2 linked regions of the Notamacropus eugenii genome follow. The protein of the gene in region 1 interacts with the protein of each later gene in a pairwise test. Links are inferred from orthologs where the notes say so. Each region holds a gene or a part of one and is shown on either strand. Other genes may lie near its edges. The genes, in order: TMEM239 and CXCL16.

Region 1 (12,840 bases):
GATCACATGAGCTTGCAGATCACTGGCCTGGAGGACTTGACTGACAAAAACCACAAAGACCTTTCGGAAGTGGCTTTAGACAGATTGTTTCTTGACTCAGTGTATCTCCACTCAAGGGCACAGACCTGGCCAATTCCTAGGAATATTCTTGTTCCTTCAGGTACCCTACCTGCACTTTAAATTTTTGGAATTACTTTGTGTTTACATCCTCTTTCTGGTCCATATATGGCCCAATGATGGTGGCATGTCCTGGGCAGAGCTAAGAGTTACAACATCACAAGAGGTACTTAAGAGCATGCTTTGCAACTTAATTAAGCTCTAATATTTGAGAGTTCTAGAGATAGACTGAGGTGTTTGTAGTATTCTCCAATAACTTTGATCAGTAACTGTGTTGATTGTGGATGCCTGCCTTGGCTCAAACCCAAATTAGGACACCAAGTAAGTCCTCAAGGGCCAATAAGCATCCTGCTCTATGGGACCATTTATTTCTATATTCACTGACCCCAAACTTTATTATGGATTCTAAGAATTTGTCAAACAGAGAAGTGGGACTTACTCCTCTTGGTTCTCACATGGCCAAGGCCAACACCACACATACTGGCCTTGGAGTAATCATGACCTTGAAATTACCAAGAGAATGTAAGGCACTAGGGGAAAATGCCTAGGGAGTCTCCCTTCCTTTTCATTCGTGGGGGAGTACCTCTTAGAGCTGCCTTTTTTAATCAGTTCTCTGGGGGAACTTGGTGAAATCTGGTACATCCAGCCATTCTGCTATGTATCTTTCCCTCCTTGCACTCCTCCTTACTGCCCCTCTCCCAGCTCAGGTTCATCTCTTTTCATCTTTTCTTTATCTTTGCTTCTGATTCCTCCATCTCCCCAGCAACCAACAGGAGAGCTGAGCTCAGATTTAAGCTTACATTGGAGTTGGTGTTGGGAACATGAGGGCAAAAGCTGGAGTTCATATGGGATTGAAGACCATCGGCAAGAATCCTGAAACATGTCATGGAAAGAAGAGCCATGGGGAGGAAATACAAAAATACAGAGGTCAGAGTAACCTCAACTTGGAGGCTGATAAAAGGAAGCAGGAGAACATGCTTCCACTTGGTTCTTCCAGTTCCTTAAATTTGGCCCTTCATAACCATTCCCATTGTATGTAAACCCTCACACCTGGCTTCTCATAACTACCCCACCCCCCATATATCCCCATACACTATCTTACTCAGGCCATCATACTTGGAGTCATACCCATTTCTCATACTGGCCTATTATGCACAACTCCTCACGCTCAAGTCTGGAGTGTTAGGTTCTGGACGGGACTCTGGATTGGGCCCTGAAGTTGTTGCATCCATTTATATCCACTTACTCTCACTCTAAATGGGAAAGTCCAGTGTACAAGGATATGGTGGGCCACAGTTCTGTCCAGATTTCTTAGAGCCCCATCCTTCTTGTAGCCTTTACTTCCCTCACCTTTGCCTCTGGGAAGAAGAGGATGCCTTGACAGAAATAACTTTTCTCCCATCTAACCCAAAGCCCAGCTGGCCCCTCCAGAGCCTCATCAGAGGCTTCTGAGAGTAGCTCAGGTGGGAGGCCACAGACCAAAGGGTGGGAATCTCTGAGTTGAATTGAGATAAGCTGAGACCATGTGGAAGGGAAAAGGTCATTGTGTCATACAATTAAGGGTTGGAAGGGACCTTAGAGATCACCTAGGCCAGCCTTCTTATTTTACTGATAAGGTATCCAGGGCCCAGGGAGGTAAAGTCACACAGGTAAGGAACAGAGGGTTTAAACCCAGGTGTTCTGACTCCAAATTCAGGACTCTGGACTCCTGAGTCCAGTGAAAGTGATATGGGGTTATTGGATGAAAATCTAGGGAAGTCAGGACTTCTAAGACTCAAAAGACCAGGAAGTCAGGATAGGTCCTAGGCTTAGAGACTGGACAGGGTGGGGATTCCTGGGTTTGATTGGGCCAGAGTAGGCAGGAAGCTGAAGGAAAGGGAGCAACAGGGGAGTTCTGAATCCAACCTAGACAGAGCAGACAGTCAGGCCAGGGCGGTGGCAGGGGGGCAAAGCCCGTCCCGTGTATTGGGTAGGGTTGAGGACGGGTTCAAGGCCAAGGCTGGATTGGGGGCAGTGTTAGGGGGCAGATGGTGATCCCTTATCTTAGATGGATCTGGGGCCAGGGTCGAGGCTGCCATTGAGGCTGATGACAGGTCCAGGCCGGGACATGCCAGTCAGTAGCCCCAGCAGGCTGAGTAGGGTGGAGAGGAGCAGTAGGAAGGAAGCAGCAAAGAGCAGGGCTGGCAGGGCACTCAAGGCCATGAGCAGCAGGGCTGGCAGTAGATGCTTCCAGATCGTGGCCACCACGGGCCAGAGCGAGCGTAGTAGGTGGCATCCTGTGGTGAAGAGGGCGTGGCACAGACCCAGGGACAGCAGCAGGTAGAGGCTGGATTCAAGCAACCACAGGACCCGCTGCAAAGGCACCCACCAGCAGGATGATGAACACCAAGATGGCAAACGTCGGCGAATTCCACCTGGGCCCTCCCACCACTGATCCCAAATTCGCCAAAGAGCCCAGCTTCGCCAGTTATTCCTCAAGCCTTCTCCCGCCCCCGCCTGGTCCGTTGACCCCTCGGTTCTGGCCCGCTGCATCGATCCGGTGCACCTGCGGGGGAGTGGTAATGGGAAGGGCTGTGACCCCCAAGCACCTAGTGAGGAAGACCGGCGTTCGGAAGGCATCTATGCGAAGCAGATTCCCAAAGATCAGGGAACTGAATGAAAGCAAGAGGGGCAGGTTATGAGGCCAAGGTACCTGGGGAGGATCTCAAAGCACCTACCGGAAGGGAATGGTAAAGAAAGAGGCATGTCTGAAAGAACTTGAGGGAGAGCTGAGTGACAGCTGAGTCTCTAAATTTGAGCGGGCTTGATTCTAAAGCCTTCGGGGAATAAGGGACTGGAAGGGGTTGATTCTAAGCCATAAGGAATGATCCTAAAGCACCCTCTAGGGAGAGGTTTATGGTCCCAAAGTATCCAGGGAGTGACAGGAAGTGATCCCAAAGTAGTGAGGTTCAGGAAGAAGGAGAAGAGAGAGAAAGGAGAAGATAGGAAAGGGAAAGGGGAAAGAACTTTCTGGTAATGAAATGCCCTGGGGGGAATCTTGCTTTCTTGGAGGAGTAGGAGGGAGGAGAAGTTTCATTAGTTTCTTGGACACACCAGGGTAGAGGAGGCTGAGGGAGCTGGGACCTCTTGGGGCAGAGCTGCTAGTGGCCAAGCCCAGGTGTGAAGAAAAGGTCATGATTTGGCCCCTGGCTGGAAGCTTGGAAAAAGGGCCTGTACATGACCTGGTCTCAGGATCCTCACCTGGAAACAGTTGGCATTAGAGGTCAGGGAATGAGAAATCCCCAGGTCTTTCTTGGAACCTTACTTGTCTCCAACCACCCAGCCCTAAGTTCAAGATCTCTAACTTGGGGACCTTTAGAAACATTTGGTCAGTGGAGAGACTTGGAGGCAAATCTAAAGTGTAATCTGTAGTGTTGTGAGTGTGTGTGTGTGTCTGTGTGTACAGAGGAGGATCAGAGAGCTTAGGGAGAATCAAGCAAGAGGAAAGGAGGGAAAAGTAAAAGCTTTGGGGCTCCAGGGCAAAGGTTCCCTGGTTCTTCCTCTGAGGCAGGAGTCAATGAAGCCTGAGAAACCAAGGCTGAAGGCTGAGATTTTTCATCTTTTGTAGACTTCTAACCTAGAGCAACCACCCTACATCCCTGTTGCTGCTGGGGTTAGTTGAGAGTTCAGAAGTTTTCCTCCAATGTCCCATCAGGGAGGTGAACCAGGACTCTGGAAGACTAGAGAAGAAGAAAGCAAACCCTCTCTAGCAAACCGTGGAGAGGCTCATCACCTGAGAAGGTTGGCCAGGGCTTGAATGTTTGGGAACACAGCAGTCTAAAGGGACTGTCTATTAAGGTCTGGGTTGCAGTCTGTATCAGCTATATCAGCAGAGAAAGTAGCTACAGATCCTTAAAGTATTGGCAGAAACTTGGAACCAGGCCCCAGATGACTGGGAAAGCAGATGAAAGAAAAGGATTTCACAGACAGAGGCTAGGGAGAGGTAGCAAGTGTAGACTGGATGTAATGTCTAGCCATTGCCTTTACCTCTCAATATAGGTTTGCTCTGATACTTCTTTCCTTGATGACTTGTCAGACTCTGATTGGGCTTTGTTCCTTGAAAGGCCAAAATGTAGGGAAAACCCAAGGACTCAGGATAAACCACCCACTAGCTGTTCCTCCAGGGATCGTGGGGTTTTGGGTTCCTAGAAACTGATTAAACTACTCTAAGAAAGCAGCATTTCATTACAGAAGTTGAGACAGAAGAGAATAAGGAAGGAGACAAGGGAAGAGATGGGAGGTAGGAGAGTGCACCAAAGAAGGGACCAAAGACATAGAAAGGAAAGGGAGGAGTCAGGAGGGTTGAGAACTAGGGAAGTGGGTCCAGGAGAGGATAGCAGAGATGGGTATCAGGGGAGTGAACAAGAGAGGGGAGAAGAAAGGAAACCACCAAGAGAAAAGAAGTGTAAACCTGACAGATAGAAGATGGGGTTGGGAAGGGGACAGAATCATAGGATATAAGAGTGAGAAGGGGCTTTGGGGGTGTCTCTTCCAACCTGTACTGAACAATATTCTCTCTACAACATGGCTGACAAGTGGCCATCCATTCAACCTTTGCGTGAAGACTTCAGATTAGAACTCACCATCACATCTGGATAGCCCTGATTTTAAGAAGCCTTTCTTTATGATAGGCATGCATGGATGACTTGTGATCCATACACATGGATGAGAATGGATCCTAATGGGGTCCCAACATGGGACAATCCACATTGATGAGGATGGATTCAATGGAACGTTAGCTATCTAGCCGTTACTCCCCTGTCCTATACTAAAGAAACTGATGTGTCGAACCTAATGTGTAGAACTTTATGTTTATTCTTATTAAATTCCGTGTGCTTAGATCTGGGCCCACACTTAGGACTGCCTAGAGTCCTGTGTGTCCTGACCTTCTCACCCAAGGTTAGCTATCTCTCTGAGCTTCACACATCATCAGATTTGATAAAAATGTTAAATAGCACAGATCCCTGGGGCACTTGGCTGGAGATAGAAACCCAAGTCCACAAGGACTGCTGAATGACCAAAGGTTCCCCCTGCCGAATCCACCAGTTTTATCACCTAGCAGCTTCTTTCTGTGTTGGCCCCAGGGGTCCCATAAGAGACTGTCAAATACTTTGCTGGAGTCTAAATATATCTGTATACTTACAGCATTCCTCTCGTCTAGACGGGAAGGGACAATGGCAAAACAAGGCAAGGGACAGGAAGACACAAGACAGAGGACAAGGGAGGAGGCAGAAAAGAGAAAAGGAGAAAAGAGTGAAGAGAGAGGAGAGGGGATAGACCATAGAGGGAATGGAAAGGGAGAAATACACCAGAGCCATTGTGGGGCTAGGCTTACCTCCCAGCACAGCAGCCTTGGTCATGTCGCCACCGCCAGCTCCCTATACAGAGCTGGGAAGGAATCCTTGCAACCTGGCTCCCGGCCTCCCCATCTCCACCCTACCCCTGGGGCCTCATTGTGACCCGGGCTTTGGGGGAGGGGTAGGACAGTGCCAAAGAGAACCCAGCCCATTGGACTCCGGAGTCCAGGCTCTAGGCCTTGTCTTTTTTCTCTTTCCTTATTTAGGGTCCAGGAACCAACATTCTTTGGCAAAACAAAACAAAGTATCTTTAAAAAAAAAAAAAAGAGTTTGAGTCTTTTGCCCACCAAAGGCACAAACTGTCAGGAACCTCCAGACAGAAGGGGTTTTCTGAGCCAAGATCTAGCTTTAGTTTCTCCCTTAGTAAAATGAAAGGTTTGGACTAGATGAATATGCTCCTTACTTGCTCTGTGATTTTGTGTTCTCCAAGGAAAAGAATTTCGCCTCCTCTTCCCTGTCTCCCCTACTCCCTGGTTTCTAAATGCCTCCTGGCTGAAAAGCCTGCCCAAGGTCTGACCTACATCCTTCTTGATATAGTCAGCAGGCTGAACCTGAACCTGCCATAGAATTCTCTTTCCACACCCTCCCTCCTCAGAGATCATAAACCAAGGCCGGCGCTGTCTCAGGCCTCTGCATCTCCCTGTTCTCCCTAACCTCCTATTCTTCTGCTAGGATTTAAGTTATTGGGGGCTATACCTTCTGCCCCATGACCCATGACCCCAAACTCTTAGACCCTTAAAATTCATGGAATTTTGCTACTTTTTCCCTGTGTCCTGGTGAATAGACCTCTTTGCCTTCCTGGGTCTTTCTTTGCTCCCTTACAAAATGAGAGGATTGAATCAAATGATCTCTAAAGGCCCTTTTGAGCTACAGATTCTAAGATTCTGATTGTGTGGCTGAAAGGATCAGATAGGCTCCTTACAGCACTATTGGTGTTAGACACTTATCTAAGGGTCCAAGGTTTAGGCTACTGAGTAGAATAGGGTCTACTCTGACTTAAGAGTCTTCTATATTGGTTTTTCAAACCCTGGGACCTGGAATAATTTAGGGTCTTCTTTCCAGACCACTCATCCTAGCCTAGAGACAACCAGAAAGGAAATTCAGAGGCAGAGGCTGGGGCAATCCTCATGTATTTTCTGTGAAGAGAATCTTTTAGCCTGCTGATTCCTGGAGAGCGGAGGCTTTGCTTCAGGCCAGAGCCTTTAGGCTGACTACAAGGCTGAAGATACTGATGGGCATCAGGGCCCCAAAAATAAGCCCTAGAAGGGTGAAGAGCAGGAATCCATCCAGGACTTGGCTCAAGGCAGGTGGGAGCAGTGGTTCTTGCAAGCTGGAGCCTTCGCCCCCTGCTCCTGGGCCAAGGGGTCTAAACATTGGTCTTTGAGGCAAAGGCAACTCCGGAGTCCTACAAGGAAAGGAGAACCTAAGGTGAGACTTAGGCCAAAGAGACCCTCTCTGGGGCAGAGAGACCCAGGAATCCAGTGTGCTTACCCATGCATTAGGTCAAAAGTCAGGAAACTCATCATTAGTAACAGCAGCAGGAAAGCTATGCCTGGTCCAGCCAGGGCCAGGACAAGGCGAGCACCAAGTCCAAGTATACCGGCGCCCAGGGCCCCATCCAAGAGTGTGAGTGAACTCCTCAAAGGCATACCATGGCCCTCCAAAAGCTCAGGACCCTCGCCAGCTTCTAGGCCCCGGCCCATTCGATCTGTAATGACAGGGATCCTGGGGAAATAGAAATAAGAGATAGGGATGGGTAAGGCAAGATGAACACAAAAGAATTCCTTTTTATTTTTTTAAAGATGTTAGGAAGTTGAAAATTCAGGAGCAAAGAACTAGGGAAAATTCTGAGGTGAACAAGTCAGACATTCATAGAAAGAAAGAGGCAATAACAGACAACAGAGGAGAAGAAGAACTCCTCAGTTCTTATTTTGCTTCTTTTGTTCCTATCAGGAAGCCATGATCTTTGGAATGGAACAGGCCAAAATGAGGGAATAGGGATAGGAATGCAGACGAAGAGAAAGAGAAGTGGAGGAGAGAGAAAACAGGAAACAAATCAATCTAACAGAAAAATACTGATAGAGCACCCACTATATACAAAGTGCTGCATGAAGCACTGGTGATAAGACATGTGCCCTGCCCTCAGGAAGCATATAATCTTTTCTAAAAATTATTTTTAACATTTATTTAAAAATAATTGTAGTTTCAAATTCTCTCCCTCTCTCTTGTTTCTTCTCCACCCATTAAGAAGGCAAGCAATATGGCATCAATTATACATGTGAAATCGCGCCAAATCTGTTTCCATATTAACCATGTTGAAAAAAAGAAAAGCAAGAAACACAAAGAAAGTGAAAAAAAGTATGTTTCAGTCTGCACTTGGAATTCATCAGATCTCTCTCTGGGAGTGGAGAACATTTTTCATCATGGGTCCAAGAAGATAACAATCTAATGGGGAGATAGGAAATATATACAAGTAACCATGGTCTAAAGGAGGAGTAGATAAGACCTAAGAGGTCCAGGCAAAGTGACACGAGAAATTTGATGAGGAAGAAATCATTTTCCTAGGGATGAGGGAGAAGAGATTAGGTAGGCCCCATGAGTTGGGTCTTGCAGGAAGGAAATAGAACTGGGGCAAGGGGGTGTAAGTTGGAGGGAACAGCTACTATAGCCAAAGACGTTTCTCCCTTAGGATTCAATGAGGTGAATTTTCTAGGTCCGTATGGAGGATTTGTGGACAAGAGCTTGACTTCTCCTGATAGGCCACCATCATGCCTTTCCACGCATTTTCTGACACTGCTTGGATAACAATGGTGCACTTAGAGAGGAATGAGCTGGGGCAGGGTTTGAGGAAAACGTTAGAGTTAAGGTTGAGTTTGATTTGCTACAAGAACAACTTTGTGGAAGATGTCCAACAGGAAGAGATATGTAACTAGGGCAGGGTGACTGAAGTTCTGCTCCAGGGTGCCAATATTTAGAGGGCACTGACAGCGTTTATATTCATTCAGGAGCATAGAAACAATGGTACTTAGTATCTTGTTAGTAAGAATCATGATTTAAAATAGTAAGTTACCAGGTGGTCCCTTTCTCCAGTTTACTAGGTCTTATTGTATCTCAGATGAGCCTTCCCTTCAGGCAGTGGTCTCCTCAGCAACAACTTCTTAGTATCCTAGATCTGTCACCTGATAACCAAATTTGTCTTAGAAAGTTTATTTGATACTATTTCATAACACTTTCTCAAGGCAAAAATTGCTAGTAATGTCTCTGCCAGCGGGACTAGAGCTCAAGGGAGCTCTCAAGGATGACTATAGATATGGGTATCATCTGCACAAATGCATGTTATCTATGAAGAGATGACAATAATGGAGCCAGAGAAGTAGATGAAAATGTCTAGGAAGAGACAGAGAAAGAAGAGGGCTAAGGGGATCCCCGGATCCTGGGGAAGACTTGAGTGTAAGAGGAGAAAGGAAGATGTAGAGCCAGTGAGTGGCTCATTTCCCAAAATGTGTTCTTTAGAATTGAATCTAATACTCCAGATATGATCATGGGCAAGGGCATTGTCAGGAAGGGCTTTTGCCTCCCATGTTCTAGATAGTAAGCCTCTATTTATGAAGCCAGAGACAAGGGAATGATCAGAGGGAAAGGAGAAAAGACAGGAGAAAGCAGCAACACGGAAAAGAAGGGAGAAAAGGGTATCTGGAAGGAGGGGGATAGATAATAATGTAAAATGTGGCTGAGAAGCCTGAGGGGATCATGCAGATATTGTAGAGATAGAAATAGTGACTTGAGGAAGAGAAATGGATGAGGGGGAAATTAAGGCAGAGATGGGAAGATCATAGATTCATAGTTAGAAGGAACCTTAAAGGTTATGGAGTGTAATCTCTTATTTTATAGATGAGGAAAATGAAGCATAATGATTTGCCCAAAGTCATACAACTAGTAAATGTTTGAGGCAGGATTTGAATCAGGTCCTTTTGAAGCTTAAGTCCAGGGTCTTGCCCATTATAGTAGGCTGCCTCAGAGATGAGAAGATAATAAAAGAAATGATTCTGGGGGGGACAGATGAGAAAGGAATTATGGAGACGGTTGGAGAAGAGACAGATAGACAAATGAGACTGAGGAGGCAGGGGTAGAGAGGTGGAGATGGAGGAGACAGGGTTAGGAGACAGGAATAGAGGCACAGGGATGAGGGAGAGAGAAATGGGAAATTGGCGACCCAAGAAAGAGTTAAGAGACCTTGTGGGGAGCATTTCTGGGGAGAGTCAGGGATAGAAGGAGTTTGGAATATAGGAGGAAATAGGATGTCCTGAAGGAGCTAACCAGAGATGAGGAGATAAGAACCCTGGGGAGGAAGTGGGGGACAGAAGTGTCATTGTCAAAACCCAGTTAAGGTAGGACCTAAAGTTATGAGGAAGAGGACAATGAACTCAAGACAGCTGGGGCCTGGTTTGCCGGCAGCCCTAGAGACATCAGATGAGCTCCTTGCCAAGTACAGAGAGCAAAGAGCGTTCTGGGCCAGTTCTGATGGAACATGGTCATTACTATGGAGTCCTGTGTTCCTTTTCTCCCTCCCCAACCTCCCCACTCCTCACCTCCTCCCTATCGGGCCTGCCATTCTGGGGACATAAACTGCTAGGGGAGAGGGAAGGCATTATGACCTGTGGAGTAGGGGCTACTGCAGAGGTCATCTTCCCCCCAACCCCGCCCCATATACACATAATAGCTGTGACCAAACTCTCTTTGGACTAGCTTGGTCTGCAATGATGCCCAACCCTGGGTAGTGGGAGAGAGGGGGAAGTATAGAGAAAGATTTCCCTGATCCCTTTTGCTCCATTTGTAACCATTGGTTCTAAGGACCATTGCATGGGACTCATTGCTCACCTGAATAAGGGGTGGAATTGAGAGCTGGAGAGAAGAGAGAACCTAGTCTTCTAGCTTCTAGCTTCAAAGGAGAAAACTCTTATGTCAAACTCTCTTCAGGTCTCTGAAGGAGGAAAGACTGTAGGAGGAAGTCAACATTAGAGGAGTTGACCCTTAGATCATGTCCCTATTCCCAGCTTACTATACTGGAAACTTCAGGGAATTTTCCCTTGGCTGAGATCTGGCCCTTTTCTCTCTTCATTGAGCTGAGTGATCTCCCTCCCAAAAGGAGAACTCATTTGCTCTGGATTGTCTGGTATACATTGTCCTTTGTGTACTTTCTCTGATTTCTATTTTGCTATCCACTTGGATCAATGGGTTTATTTGCTGTTTGCTATGAGAATTCATTGTGGAACTGATATTTATCAGCAAGTCTTGGATAAGTAGCTTGGGGTACTCTGTTCACATTAAGGTATAGTGATTAGGAGTGCAGCTTGAACTTAAAAATTATTTTCCCTAGACTAAAAATATTTAAGGGAGAAGATAGATATAATTTTTGCATGATTAACCCCTTCTCTGAGGAGATAAGAGGTGATGTTCGTAATCCTTCATTTCATGACACCACTACAGGGGATGGCTCTCTAGGAGGGGATAGGGATGAGATATAATTGGAAAATATAACTAATGAAAAGCCAAAGGTATCAAAAAAAAAAAATCCTAGGGCCTTTATCAAACACTAGGACCACTATAAGCCTCAGACTCTCAGAACTGGAAAGGACCTCCAGGTCCATCTCACTCTACCTGTGCCCAGACAATTCCCTCCACTCTGAGTCAGACATTTGGTCATCTGGTCTTTACTTGAAGGCTAAGGAAGAACTCACCTCTGGAGACAATCCATCCCACTCTGATGGAGTTGTAATTATTCAGAGTGCTCTGGCTCTGTACTCACACAGATCCTGGATTCAATGTGGGGCTTGCTTAACTGCAAAGTCAGGAGATCAAGTTTCTTTTGATGTCTTTGGATTGTAGAATAAGACTATGGGGAAAAAAATCTTCAACACAAAGGCTAGGTATGTCTCATGTCTCAGATCTCTACAAAAGGGATTAATAGAAGCCTCTCTCAGAAAATGTACATTGATGTTCCCTCCCCAAATTGATGAACAGTCTCTCTTTTCAGAAAAGATACACAATGTTCAAAACAGATATAAGCTATAGGAAGCTATTTATTTCCTCCACCACAAAAGAAATGCTTTAACTACACATATACACAAATACACAAAGTATGCATTAACTTAAAACACTAAACAAGAAAGACCTGTTAACATCATGACATTCTCCTAAAAGGTAAAGACAACATTGCGAGACTGCTAAAAAAGATTATTTCACTTTCACCTCAGGCCTGCACTGTCTAGATAACTCATAAGATTCAGATCTCCCAGCCAGTTTGAGCTTGCCTTGAACTTTGACAAACTTTCCAGTTGCAGCATCCTCTTGTTTGGTGGCCATCTCCTCCTCTAAAAGCTATGCAGTTACAAGAACTGTGGTGACCAGCTAGCATCAATTCAGTGGCACAGATGCTCTTGAATTCACAAAATAGTCATCAAGGTTGAAAATGTCCTTTTTTCACAGGTTTGTTGTTTCTGGATACAGATTTCTTTTCAGAGAAGAAACACAGAGACAGAGGAAACCAGCCAGGAACTTGGGTTCACCTAGGTAAGCACAAGTTGTTCACTGTGTGGCTATGGCTACAATTGCCACTGGATAGAAGAAAGAAATTCTCTGCTTCCTGATTACTGGAAATCCTAAAAAGAGAAATACAGGAAGTCACACAGGAGCTAACTAAAAAGAAGATAGGAACCTTTCTCCAACTCTTGTAACCTGCTGGAGTGGGATAGAGATCAAGGGTTCCATTAACTCTGACAGCAGTTATCTTTGATGTAACCCCAGTCATAAAGATTAAGGGACCAGTCAGGAGTTGTTGGGTCATATTTATCCTTGAGGGAAAATCCTCACAGAAAGAGGCCAGAGCACATGCCCAGCTCTGTGGAAAGTACTACACTTCATCCCTGCTAAAGTAAAACACATATGTACATATAGATATCTCATTCACTTTCAATATATTCTTCCCCACTCCCTCAGGCTTTGGAGCCAACCCTATTAACAAGGAATAAAAAATAAAGAGAAGAGAAAGAAGTTTAGCAAAACCAAGCAACAGACCAAGAGATTCTGACAGTACATGCAATTTTTCACACCCATAGCCCTCTACCCCTGGAAAAAGAAGGGGTTGTGCATTTTCTTACGTTTTCTCCTAGATCAAGTTTCATCAATATAATAGTGATGAGGTTGAGGGGTGCTGGGGACTCCGAAATACTGACACGCCAGGTCCTGTTCGGATGAATTCGACTCAAGCCTTCTTAAAGTCAAAGAAAACAAAGTTTATTAAAGGTTCATCTTACTGGGTTGACTCTTA
Region 2 (12,303 bases), on another chromosome or scaffold:
GAAGACACCTTAAAGATATCCAGAGCGAAAAGGTAGATAAGGGTGGTCAGTAATAGAAGAAGGAAGAAGGGATAGTCCCATTGCCCCTCTCCCCCTCCTTTCCTTTCCACTCCCCATACCTGTAATCGAGGTAGAGAACTCAACCAGGTGTCCTTGAGACCAAAGCCAGAGTTAAATCCTGAGGAGGAGGCAGAAGAGAGAGAGTCAAGAGAGTACTCTAGCTCCCTTCTCCCCTACACTCTTTCTCTCTCTCTCTCTCTCTCTCTCTCTCTCTCTCTCTCTCTCTCTCTCTCTCTCACACACACACACACACACACACACACACACACACACACACACACACACACACACACACACACACATATACACACACACACATACACACTCATTTGGGCCTCTCACCAATCACCAGGTCAGGCTTGGGTCCCTGAAGTAAGTGGTAGGGCCGGGCAGAAACCTTGATCTGAAGATCCCTACGGCTTCCCTTCTCTTTAGCTCCTGAGCCTGGACGCACAGATACCCCAGATCCTGGACGGACAGATACTCCTGACCCATCCTGATGGAAGGAGATGAGGGAGAGCTTGGGGCAAGGATTTTTGGATATGGATTAAGAGAGGAAGAAATGAAAGTGAGAGAAAAGATTAGTTACGGGAAAGAAGAGCACAGGCTTTTCTGTGGCTGTGGTGGGGCAGAGGCTATATCTGGACTGTGTCTGATCCTCTTGATCAGGGTAACTCTCTCCCCCCAGGACCATCATACCCTCTGAAGGGTAAAATGTTGCTGGTCATTCTCAGGAGGCAAAGCACCACCTACAAACTGCAGCTCCAGGGCCACATGAGGAAGTAGAACAGAGAGCTCCTAGGTAGAAGAATGGGGAATGTCACAGCTGACTGCCCCTCCCCCAACCACCACAACACCCTTGTCCTCTCCCCACCTCCATCCAGTTCAGTTCCTTCTGAATGCCCTAGGTATCTGCCTCCTCAACTTCCCTTCTTGATCCTAAGGGATAATGGTCAAATATTCCTACCCCTTTTCCAAGACCCCCAGGTGTCTTTTTTTTTTTTAGCTTACTCTCAACAAAGACTCCAATCATTCAGCCTCCCAGAACCTCCCTCTTCAGGGACAGCCATCTGCCTAGTCCCACCTAGTCCCATCCACCCCATCCACTTTCTTCTTGGGTCTCACCCAAAACACCATGATGAGATCAAACTCCTTCCCAGCCTCTACCACATGGATTTTCAAGGACTGTTTGTTCTGGATGTTCAGCTCTGGGACTAGGGGTATATGTGGAAGGGGAGAAAGGGAGGGACAATTTATTAAACCGATAATCCCTTAACCCTGTCCCACTTTTCAGCCCTCTGGTTCCCTACCTTTTCTTACCTCAGTCTGACCCCAGCCCTCTCCACTGTTTCCCCCACCTGTAGTCCCTCCCAACTCCACCCATCTTTTCTGTTCCTTTCTTACAAGATTGGGGCACCAGATGGGTTATAACATAGTAAACAGTCAGTGGGTAGGTAAGGAGAACAGCCAAGGGAGAGTCCAGGCCCAAGCCACGCCATGCATAGTAATCTTGCCAGGAACCTGGTGGTGGTGGGGAGATGAGGAGGAGTGAATGGATAGGTAGATGAAGGCTTGTTCCCTTTCTACACACTCCTCCCCACTAGAGTACTCATTGTTCTTAGGGACTCAGACAGCAAGACCTCTGGCTCCTGTCTTCTCCATCTTCCTTCCTCCTTTCAGAGGTGAAGGTATTTAATTCTCCTTACCAAAAGGGCCTCGAGGTGGATCAGGAGGCACTGGAGGCATCAAGGGGGGTCCATCTCCCTGAAGTAACTGATAAGGATCTCCTGAGAGAAGAGGTAGGTAGGAATGAAGGAGGGATCCCTATTAGCCTCGCCCTCCTTATCCCTTGGAGGCAGGGGAACTCTAGGCTGGTGTCTCTAGATCTGAGAGGAGGGAGAGGGACTCTGATGAATCATCATCACAGAGGAGCTGATCTGAAATTACACTTCGAGGCATGTGAATAGGAACCAGGAGGTGGGAAAGGGGCATAGGGGAGGAAGTGACTAAGGGGGAGAAGGTGCTGGCTTGTAGAGATACCTGGGGACAGAATGGCCTTGAGGTGGCCCTTGTTTGTGTACATATATGTGCTTCAAGTGGATTTGGAGGGAAGCTAAGACATTTTCTTGGAACTCCTCTCCCTTCCCCTTTGGTGTGTGATCTACCCCACCCCCATTAAAATGTCAGCTCCTTGAGGGCAGGGAATAGTCTTTCTTTTGGCTCTGATTTGTATTCCCAGCCTTAGTACAATGCCTGGCACTTAGTAAGAACTTAATAAATGCTTGTTGCCTGTTATGTAGGACATCCTCTGGCTCTGCCTCCATCACCTCCCTGTAATCCCCTCCCACATTTCTGTGGTTGTATCCCCTATAGCCTTTGGAACAGGATAACTAGAAGCAAGGCTGGGAGGAGGTGATAGGAAAGAATGGGACACAACACTCCCCCCCCCCAAGCCTCCCAGGATGCCCTACTAACCACTGAGGAGGAGGCTGAGGGGAGGCCCATTGCCTGGGGGGTATCCTGGGGCAACAGGACCTGGGAGGAGCATGCTGAGTTGAGTCCAGTACCCTCGTGTAAGGCCTCGGGAGGCCAGGAATGCCTCCTTGTTAAACATCTCGCTTGTTACCTCTGGAGGAGCAGAGATGGAGGTCAGGGTCCAGATATTTGTCTTCCTGGTCCCAGGAAGTCCCAGGTCCCAATTTTGACACACTAACCCAGATGCTAGTGTTTTGTACCTGAGTGCCCACCCAAGACACCCCTCTTCTGGCCTCCAGCCTCAGAGTATCCCCTTTTTCTCCCCACCAACCCTCCATCATTTTATTTTAGGGGCCCAGCATCTTTTTCCTTTCCCAGTTCCTTGGTCCTTTCCATACTCTCTAAAGGCCTAGTTCTTGGTCCCCCAGGCCCCTCAGGGGCTCAGGTATTTCTGGTACCAGCAGTGTAGGTGAAGGGCAAGGCTGCCAGCTCCCCAGCCCGCCCCATGAAAGCTGCAAGTCTTGGGCACCAGAATCGATGGCTCACATCATCTGGCCTGCGTCGCCAGTCAGCCCAGACACAGGTTTCCCCACAGTACAGGACTGCACCACACTGGGGGCTGGAGGAAATAGGACCAAGGGTAGAAGAGTTATGGGGAAGGACAAGACAGATAGCCTAACATACCTGTCCCTCTCCACCTTCAGTGTCTAACTCCTACTCATGACATCTGCTCACCAGGGCATCAGCTTCACTTCAAAACTGTGTCTGTGACACACATGGCAGGCACGGGCACGGAGAGAGGCAAAAGTGAAGCCAGGACGGGGGCCCCACGTCCTCATTGGGGCTTTGGCTAGCTTCACCCCAAGCCTTGGGACCAAGCTTTCTAGTTCCCTGGATAGATAGGAAGATGAACTTCAGCATGAGGCCCCAGCCCTCCCCCCATCAGGAGCTGAGGCATGCAGCATCCAGGTCCCAAGCTCCCTTTTCAGTCCCTATATTCCTTAGGGACACAGGTATACACACCCTCCATACCCTTCTGAAACCAATGCATTTAGGACCCCATGTTTCCCCTTTCTCCTTCCTCTGCCATTTTCCACACCCTTTTGGGACCCACATCTCTGTACCGATGTAGCTGGGGGTCTCCCACTGTGAGCTGTCGAGGTCTTCTAGGGTCTCCAGCTCCCATGGGGCAGGCCATACTGTGGCAGAGGAGAGTATAAGCTCTTTGGGCCAGGCCCTCAGCCCCAGTGACTCTGCCTCCACTCCCTTGGGGTCCACCCATGAGGAGGTCAATGCCCAGGATAGTGCCATGTTCATCGGTCACCAGAAGTAGGCAGGCCAGGTGTAGGGGGGCAGCATCTGAGAAAAGAGGGGAGAAGTCAGATGAAAGGGAAGGAGAGTTGAGGTTCAAGGAAAGGTAGAGCAGATAGAGGTAGGGGTAGGGGTTCAGGGAAGAGGGGGAGCCTGAGAAGAGTTTTCCCATATATAGGGTAAATTCAGTGGAGTTGGGAGTGGGATTGTCCATACTCATCCCCTACCCCACACATCTTGCACATTTAAATCTCTTTGAATTCAACTGGAAATATTAAGAAATACATTTTTCTCCAGGCTAGTCCTTTTCAGATTTACCACAAGGAAGAAAATTTTATCACTACTTAAACTCCTCAGGAAATAATGACCTCCGCTAAAAACCTTTCTCCCCTTTCTCTTAAGCCCAATCTTTTTCTTTTAGGAAAATGTGAAAAGGATAGAGAAAGAAAGCTAAAGGTCCCAGAAAATGGGTTAAGGATGGTCACCATTTTTAGGAAAAATATCTCAGATCTAGTAAAGAACATTGCTTCCTCCCCATCCCCTGAAGAGATCAGAGTAATGCCCCACTTAAGGACACTACTCTTGGTGTCCATTATCCCAAAAGCGATAAGGGAATCTATCCAAGGAAGAGATCTTTTTTGTTTGCTTTAGGTAACCTGGGACAAGCAGGGGGGAGAGATCTTGAGGAAAGTGATTGTTTCAATTCTCCAAGAACTTTCCTGAAAGATTAAGTAACTATTTTTCTATTTGTTGATATGAAATGTTAACCCATTTTAAATTTAACTACATTTTTTTCATATTGTAAAATGCTCCTCATTCAGGATTCACATAAGTGTTACTTCAAAATATCTTCTATTGGAGAGAAATGTCCAAGGGCATAAGAGAACTATGTCAATGTGAATATTTCTCTCTCCAAGCAGAATAGAGCAAAGATAGGAAAAGAGCCACTCTTGGTGGAAAGTGAATAGTTGGATCAAAACTGGAAGTGAGGTGGTATTTGGGTCTCTCACCACCTCTCTTTCCCTTTCTCTTCTCTGGCCCCATTTCCTCCTCTCCTCCATCCTCTCTGGTGTCCCCTCCGCTGCTGTCCTCTCCTGCCTCTTCCTCAGCATCTTCCAGTTCCCTAGGTGTCTCAGCATCCTGGGTAGGCTCCCGGCTGGTGGTGGCCTGCTCTCCTTCCTCCTCCAGTTCACCTTCTTCTCCACCTGCACCTTCCTCCTCCCCATCTTCTTCTTCCTCTCCATCTTCAAGGCTAACAAAGCTAACATAGGGACTGAGGTCTCTGAGGCAGAGAGGGGGCTCATCTCCCAAAAGACGGGCAGCACCCAGGCCTGGTCCAGGTCCCTGCTTAGCACCTTGCCCCAGGCTGATACCCACACTACGGTTGGGCAAGATGTGAAGGACCCAGAGGGCAGGGTCTGAGGGCAACCGTCTCACCTGGGCTTCCATCAACCTTGATCGACCCTCAGGCCCATGCCCCCCACCCACCCCAGTTCCACGCTCTGAGGCAAACTTGCGGAACCAGACAAATAGAAGGGCAGCAAAGTCGAGGAACTCATCCCGATAACCAGATACAAACTCCATGATTTCTAGGCGAGCAAAGGAGTTGAGTCACAGAGAAAGGAAAGGAGCACAGGAACCTCATGTGAGGGACTGGAGTTAGGGCAGGAAAGGATGGGGTGAAGATAAGGAAGTGAGGACTATGATTTAGGGCTGAGTTGGGCTCTTTAGGGTTAAAACTAAAGAGTGGATAGGGAAGAAGGCCATGGATAGGGTCTTGTGGATAGTGGCTGAAGAGGCAAGGGCAGAAGGAGGAGTTAAGGAAGGAGGGCTATGGTTTAGCGTTAGACTAAATGGGTTACCATTCAGAGTTGGGCGTGGAGGCTGTAAATAAGGGAATATTAGCTGTTGAGAATAGGGAATAGGAGCTGGAGATAGAGGTTAACAGGGATTGAGTCAAAACCAGAAAGTGAATCTGGGATGGAGATTATTTCAGTTGGGGTTGAGTTTTTTTGTTTGTGGGAGGAAAACTGGGACATCACCAGTAAAGAAAGGTGAATTTCATAACGGCTTAAAATCAGAAAATAAAAGGAAAAGGGCCAGGTTGCCCATGGTCTAGGTCAGATTTGGGTTGGATGGGTATGTATATGCTTGAGGGGCTCTATCTTTCCATTTCAATTTCTCCTCCACCCTGTCTCCCTTACCTGCAGCGGCCGTCTCTGTTCGAAGGTAAATACTGTGGCAGCGTGGGGGAGGGCTGTGACATCACCTCCCCCCCCCCACCCCCACAACCTAGACCTGGCACTCTCGCGCAGAACGCCCCACCCCCATTCAGAGGCTAGACTCCCGCTACAGCCGAGTCCGGAATCTTCGTGCGCCAACACTCAAGTACCTTTGCTTCTTTTTTCATTTTTAAAAATGTCTTATGAACGCACTATTTTCTACACAATACATAACAGTAGCCTCCCTTTTCCCCTTGCACTATCCCTTCTTAACATTGCAAAAAAGAACCAAACCACCCAACAGTCAACCAAAAGCGTTTGATCCCATAACTTTGATTGAGTTTGTAACATTCTGCACTTACAGCCCTCCAATCCTCTACCAAGAGGAAAGTAGAGTGTTCCGTCATTCGTTATCTGTAACTAATATCGGCCTTTAATAATATTGACATTTGATCATTAGCAATCACTGCATATATTATTGTTTGGGGTCTGCTTTCTTTTTATCTGCGGGTTCATACATGTCTCCCCAAATTTCTGAGGATCTCATATTTATCCTTACTCAAGGCACAATACTTTTATATTCATATACCACCTTTACAAATATTCCCCTAATCAATGAACACCTACTTTGTTTACAAGTTTTTGCTACCACAAGGGGGGCTGTTATGAATATTGATACATATGGACTCTTTCGGTCTTTGACTAGTAGTGGAGTCGCTGGGTCAGAGGGCATATATACTGAGTTCAGTGACCTCTCATGTGATTCCGAATTGTTTTCCAGAATGACTAATAAGCTAATTCCCAGATGAAGCAACTAACTTGCAGTATAGCAACCCTTTCACACTATTTCCATCTTTAACCGTCTTTGCCTAGCTGAGAAATGTAAGGGGACACTTCAAAGTTCCTTCGTAGTTGTCTCTTCTCTCAGGGAAGCAGCTAAATTCTGAATCTGTATTTCTTCTCCCCAGTCTTGTGAGCGCTTGTTTACTGGCGCCTACCACAGAAAAAAGGGGAAGTGAAAGTACCTTGGGTCACCAGGCTCTGTCTGCAAAGAATCCCAGACTCCTTGTGGCACCCCTTCGATGCCCCTACTCCCTGCCCTAGCCATCTTTCCAGGCACTCCAGTCACAAACTTGGGGAAAACAGTGGGAATTTTCCGGGCTGTGCAACACCAAGTTTCGGCTCCATCGGAGTCGATTTCCATTTCTTTGCCTGTCCCTGGATGTTTGTGTTTCCTTTGCTTCTCAAAATCTGTCTGCCTTGTGGTATTTCCTGCCCTCCCACGCCATCCTCTTCCTAGTTTGGGAGGCAGATATCGTCACTTTTTTTCCCCACCTTCTACTGAAACCAAAAAGGATTCAATACCCCAGCCTTACTGAAATACAGGCGACTTTTAAGTCAGAGCTTTTTTTCTCTGAACTTTTCCTCTGGAGAGCCAGTCACTGAACGTTTCCGGAAGCGGGGACCAGTGAGAGATAACCTATTGGTTCCACACCCTTCAGTACTAGCCCAGTCGTTTGGGAAGCCAGAGCTCATGCCTGGTAGCTCTGAGGTAGCCGTAGCTGGGCACCGGAGCATGAGCGGATTCTGCACAGTTTCGTTGGTCTTGTTTCTGAAGCTGATCCAAGGAGGTTTGAGGGGATGGCGAATGGCTCGGGTCCATTTCGGGGACGTAGAGTTCATGGATTGAAAAACGAAGTGGGAACGAGAGGGAAAGGAGGAATTGCCGGGAGATTGAAGTGCCCTCGTAATTTGGGGTCGGACCCCAAGTTGGACATTTTGAAGTCCAAGGGGAAGGGCTCATGAGGGGGCGACCTACCGAGCTCCTATAGGCAGAGGAGCAGGAATTAGCATACCTATTGTGGCTGGTGCGGAGGCAAAAAGTAGTGTATGGTGCTAGGACTAGGGCGGGGCCGGGAAAAGAGAGAGAAAGAGAGAGAAAGAGAGAGAGAGAGAGAGAGAGAGGGAGGGAGGGAGGGAGGGGGAGGGGGAGAGGGAGGGAGAGAGAGAGAGAGAGAGAGAGAGAGAGAGAGAGAGAGAGAGAGAGAGAGAGAGTGAGTGTGAGAGTGTGTGAGTGTGTGAGTGTGTGAGTGTGTGTGAGAATGTGTGTGTGAGTGACTGAGAATGCGAGTGTGTGTGAGAATGTGAGTGTGAGTGTGAGCGAGAGTGAGAATGTGAATGTGTGTGTGTGAGTGAGAGAGAGAATGTGAGAGTGTGTGTGTGTGAGAGTGTGTGTGTGTTGGGAGAGGGGAATATCCTCAGCTTCGGTGTTCTTCCAGGTTACTGGTGTTGATTAGCAGGATACTTGAATTCTGGGGATGGATACACTGGGATGTGGCTGGTTGTGGTCCCTGTGGAAGGAGCTGGAGAAGTGACTGTCACGTACCTGCGTCGTTACTATTCTCTCTCTCCTTTAGTTATTGGAAATCAGGGCAGCATTGCAGGAAGCTGCCCTTGTGACTCGAAGCTACCTGATTCCCCGAGTCCTGCACTGTGGCAATTACTCACTACTAATCTACAGGGATATGAAAGTTGCCACAAATATATAAGGTAGGACCCACCCTATCCCCCACTTTCCTCCCCATCCCCAACTGCTTGCTTGCTTCCAACACACCTTTCCTGGCTGTGTATTTATTTCCAGGAATCCATAGTCCCCAGGGCTTAGGCTCTCTTAAACTCTGCCCTGCCCCTGTCTAGGTAAAGTTTACCTTGCCCAGTAGCTGGGGAATTCCAAGCTGTTTCATTGCTTAGGAATGAGGAAGGTAATTTGGAACTGAAAGTGAAAAAATAAATGTAAAAATGAAAACAGTTATAAATATCTATTTTTTCAGATCTAGAAAAATTGAGCCATATTATATATACAGTTGAATTTTTAAGATGTCAGAAAATAATCAAGTTGATCATTTCTCAATGTGTTTTGTGACCATATTGATATTTCTTTCCCCTATATTAAAGTCCTTTCACCTCTATGTAACTAGCAAAAACTTTAAGTTTCCACAGTGATTTCAGGAAATAAAAATTTTTCTTAAAAAAAAAAAAAAGTAATGAGGAAGGGTCAACTGAGCTAGATTTCTAGCAGTGTAAAAAGGGGAAAAGTGAAACTTCAGAATTGGGAACTGAGGCAGTACACCTTCTGCAATTCCTAACCAGGTTCCACCTGCCCAGAAAAACTCTGTGTTCAAGCTTCAAAAACACCTGGGGCCAGAGGCTAAGGACTTGTTTCGACAACCATGGTGAGAGTCCATCTTCCCCCCTTTTCCCATTATTAACATTATTTCTCTTCAGCTTTTTCTTTATTATGTATTCTAATTTTCAAAGAGTTCCATCACCTCTTGACCTCAGTTCTTTCTTTTCTTCCCATCAGTTAACTATTCCCTCAGCTTCCCCTTTCCTGTGTCTTCCTTTCTGCCTCCTCCCAAGCTATTTATCTTCCTTCCATTCTCTCCTCTTATCAGTTAAATTTAATAAACATTTGCTGAGCAATTCAACAAGCATTTACTGAAACCCTACCATGTACCAGGCGCTATGATTGAGGAGACAAAAAATGAAACAGTCCTTGGACTTACATTCTACTGGTGGAAACAATATTCGGAATATAAAAAAATTTTAGGGGAGAAGGCACTAACAACTGGGCTGATCAGGAAAGTGGGCAACTGAGGTGGTTTTTGAAGGAAGTTAGGCAGAGATATGGGCAGCTAAGAGGCACTGCAGGTAGAGTGCCAGGCCTGGATTCAGGAAGACTTCTCTTCCTGAGTTCAAATCCAGCCTCAAGGCACTTACTAGCTGTATGACCCTGGGCAAATCACTTTACCCCATTTGCCTCAGTTTCCTCTTCTGGAGCTGGAGATGGCAATGGCAAACTACTTCAGTACTTCTGCCAAGAAGACCTCAAATAGGATAACAAAGAATTGGACACAAATGAAAAAAACTACTGACTGAGGACTGAGATAAAAGTTTGGAGTTCAAAAAAGAGGTGAGGGCTGGTTTAACAGATCTGGAAATCATCTGAACAGAGATAATAAATTATCCTATGGTAGCTGATTAGATTAAAGTAAGAGAGACAGAGAAAAAGAAGAGGGAAGAGGACAGAGCCATAGGGGTACATCAAGGCAAAGGAGAAGGGACATAGATGATGATCCAACAAAGGAAAATGAGGCACAATCACCTAGTCACAGGAGAATAAGGAAAGCATAAAAACCCAGGGAGAAGAGGGTACTATCAGTGATTCCAACAGTGCCAAATGTTGAATAGGTCAGGAAGGATAAGGACTAAAAAAAAAGCCCTTAGATTTAGCAGTTAAGAGATTGTGGGCGACATGGAAAGATTTACATGATTCGATGAAGAGTGAAGTAAAATAAAAAATCGATATATAATATATAATGATTACGACGATGCAAATGAAAGGAATCACCAAAAAAAAATCAAAAGGGATTGTTGCAAATGGCTCCAAAGAAAAGACATGACGTACTCCTATTCCTCTGCAGATGTGGAAGATCCACAGATGTAAAATATAGTATATATTTTTAGCCTAGTTTGGTTTGCTGATTTTTTTCCTCTTCTTTATCTTAAAAAAAAAATGTTATTTCTTATGTGGAACAGCTCTCTAGGAGGGAGAGGGGAAATACTGGGAGAAATTCTGAGAATGTAAAAAACAAAAGATAGCAATAACATTTATTTTTTAAAAAACTGGGGGAAAAAATAATATTAGCTCTTTTAGTATAAGTTTTTGCTTTTTATTGTATCTCCAAGCTTAGCACAGCTCCTTACATAGTAAACTCTTAATAAATGCTTGTTGATTGGGGAGGAAAAAGATGGTTGGCAAGATTGGATTAAGTAGTTATATTCTTTACATCTATCCCCTCTTTTAAGTCTTCTACTTAACTCTCTTACCCACCCCTCTCTCTCTACTAGATCTTTCACTTTAATTCCCTATTTCTTCATGTTTCTCTCCAGCTCGTCAGATTTCTCTCATCTTGTTTTCCCAGAATGTGGAATCGCCAAGACATACAAATCTGGATATCAGGGCACCCAGGATAATTACCTTACTACCACGATCCAAAGCCTGACAGGACTAAACCGATTACTCCCATTCACCACCACCGAACCATCCTCCCAGACCAACCAGTCAACAAATACCCAGTCTAGAGAAATGGGGAATAGATATCTCAATGACACCACCAGTGCTCCTCTGGAGAACAGCAGCATGGCAAACATGAAGGGGGAAGCCAAAAAGGGACAAATGGACCAGATGGGTACCTCTGCCACCATACCTATTTTGTGCCTACTTGGGATTGTCTTTGGTCTTACTGGAGTTCTTGCTTATGTCTGGTGTCGGAAACAAGAACCTCCAAAGAGGAACCCCAAAGGTAAACATGGGATCCATGTGTTTTGGTCCCATAAATCTCAGTTGCATCAAGGACCAAGCGAATCTGCCCTTCTAGATTCAGCTCCCTTTTCAGCCCCTGATCCTTCTCAGAGGGTGCCTAGTATACTATAAAAAGCACTGCATTTAGAGTTGGAGGATCTGGGTTCAAATCCTGACTCTGCCATTATATGACTTTAGATCTCCATTTCCTCATCTGTAAAATAAGGGCCTTGGATTAGACGACCTCTAATGTCCCTTCTAGCTCATATAATGCTATGAAATAATTTTCTCTTTCTGGGTCTTATTCTCGTCTGTACAGCAAAGGGTTTAAAGACCCTTCCAAATCAAAATCCTATAATCTAAGTGGCAGAATCAGGAGCTGAAGCCAGATTTTCTGACTCAGAGTACAGTGCTCTATCCATTATACCACAGTCTCCTATCCAATCACTTTACAGAAGAGGAAACAGAGTTTTAAGACTCAATTGAGATCATCCTTACTGATGAAGGAGCACCTAAGCTGGTTAGTGGCAGAGTTAGGTCTGTGACTATGGTCTTCTCACTTGAATTTATGGCTTTATCTTGAGTGGCACTACAATCACCACATGCTGAGTGCCTACTGTATGCAGAGCACCATTTGGACCCCTGAGAACTTAAAGAAGCCACAAGACAGTATTTGATTTTGAGAGGCTTACTATCTGAGCAAACAGAAGATATCCCTAAAAAATCTACTTAAAAATACAAAGATTAGCCAAGTGCCAAATGGTAAAGGTAGTCAATGTAGCACAGATGAGGCCAGTTGTGAAAGGCTCCACACATGACTTGAGAAGGACTTTTGAGAGGGCATAGAGAGCAGGTACAGGAACATTTTAG

The links.
Region 2: the proteins of TMEM239 (region 1) and CXCL16 interact in a two-hybrid assay, tested with the Homo sapiens proteins (2 studies listed by BioGRID). The two-hybrid records come from large-scale screens. The link is inferred for Notamacropus eugenii from reciprocal best matches to the Homo sapiens genes TMEM239 and CXCL16.

What each region holds. Positions count from the first base shown.
Region 1 is NC_092877.1:46,437,664-46,450,503, forward strand, and holds TMEM239 (transmembrane protein 239), read right to left. Parts: upstream 5,604-12,840; 5' UTR 5,492-5,603; intron 2,663-5,491; 5' UTR 2,650-2,662; coding exon 2,161-2,649; 3' UTR 2,051-2,160; downstream 1-2,050. Other genes in the region: C6H20orf141 (uncharacterized protein C20orf141 homolog), read right to left, coding at 6,702-6,918, 7,005-7,238, 10,103-10,125.
Region 2 is NC_092873.1:79,119,083-79,131,385, reverse strand, and holds the start of CXCL16 (C-X-C motif chemokine 16), read left to right. Parts: upstream 1-7,446; 5' UTR 7,447-7,602; coding exon 7,603-7,699; intron 7,700-8,485; coding exon 8,486-8,618; intron 8,619-9,218; coding exon 9,219-9,301; intron 9,302-11,053; coding exon 11,054-11,565; 3' UTR 11,566-12,303. Other genes in the region: ZMYND15 (zinc finger MYND domain-containing protein 15), read right to left, coding at 120-178, 403-556, 760-858, 1,186-1,274, 1,465-1,581, 1,767-1,847, 2,536-2,688, 2,994-3,154 and 3 more. UniProt on the Homo sapiens protein: Acts as a scavenger receptor on macrophages, which specifically binds to OxLDL (oxidized low density lipoprotein), suggesting that it may be involved in pathophysiology such as atherogenesis. Induces a strong chemotactic response. Induces calcium mobilization.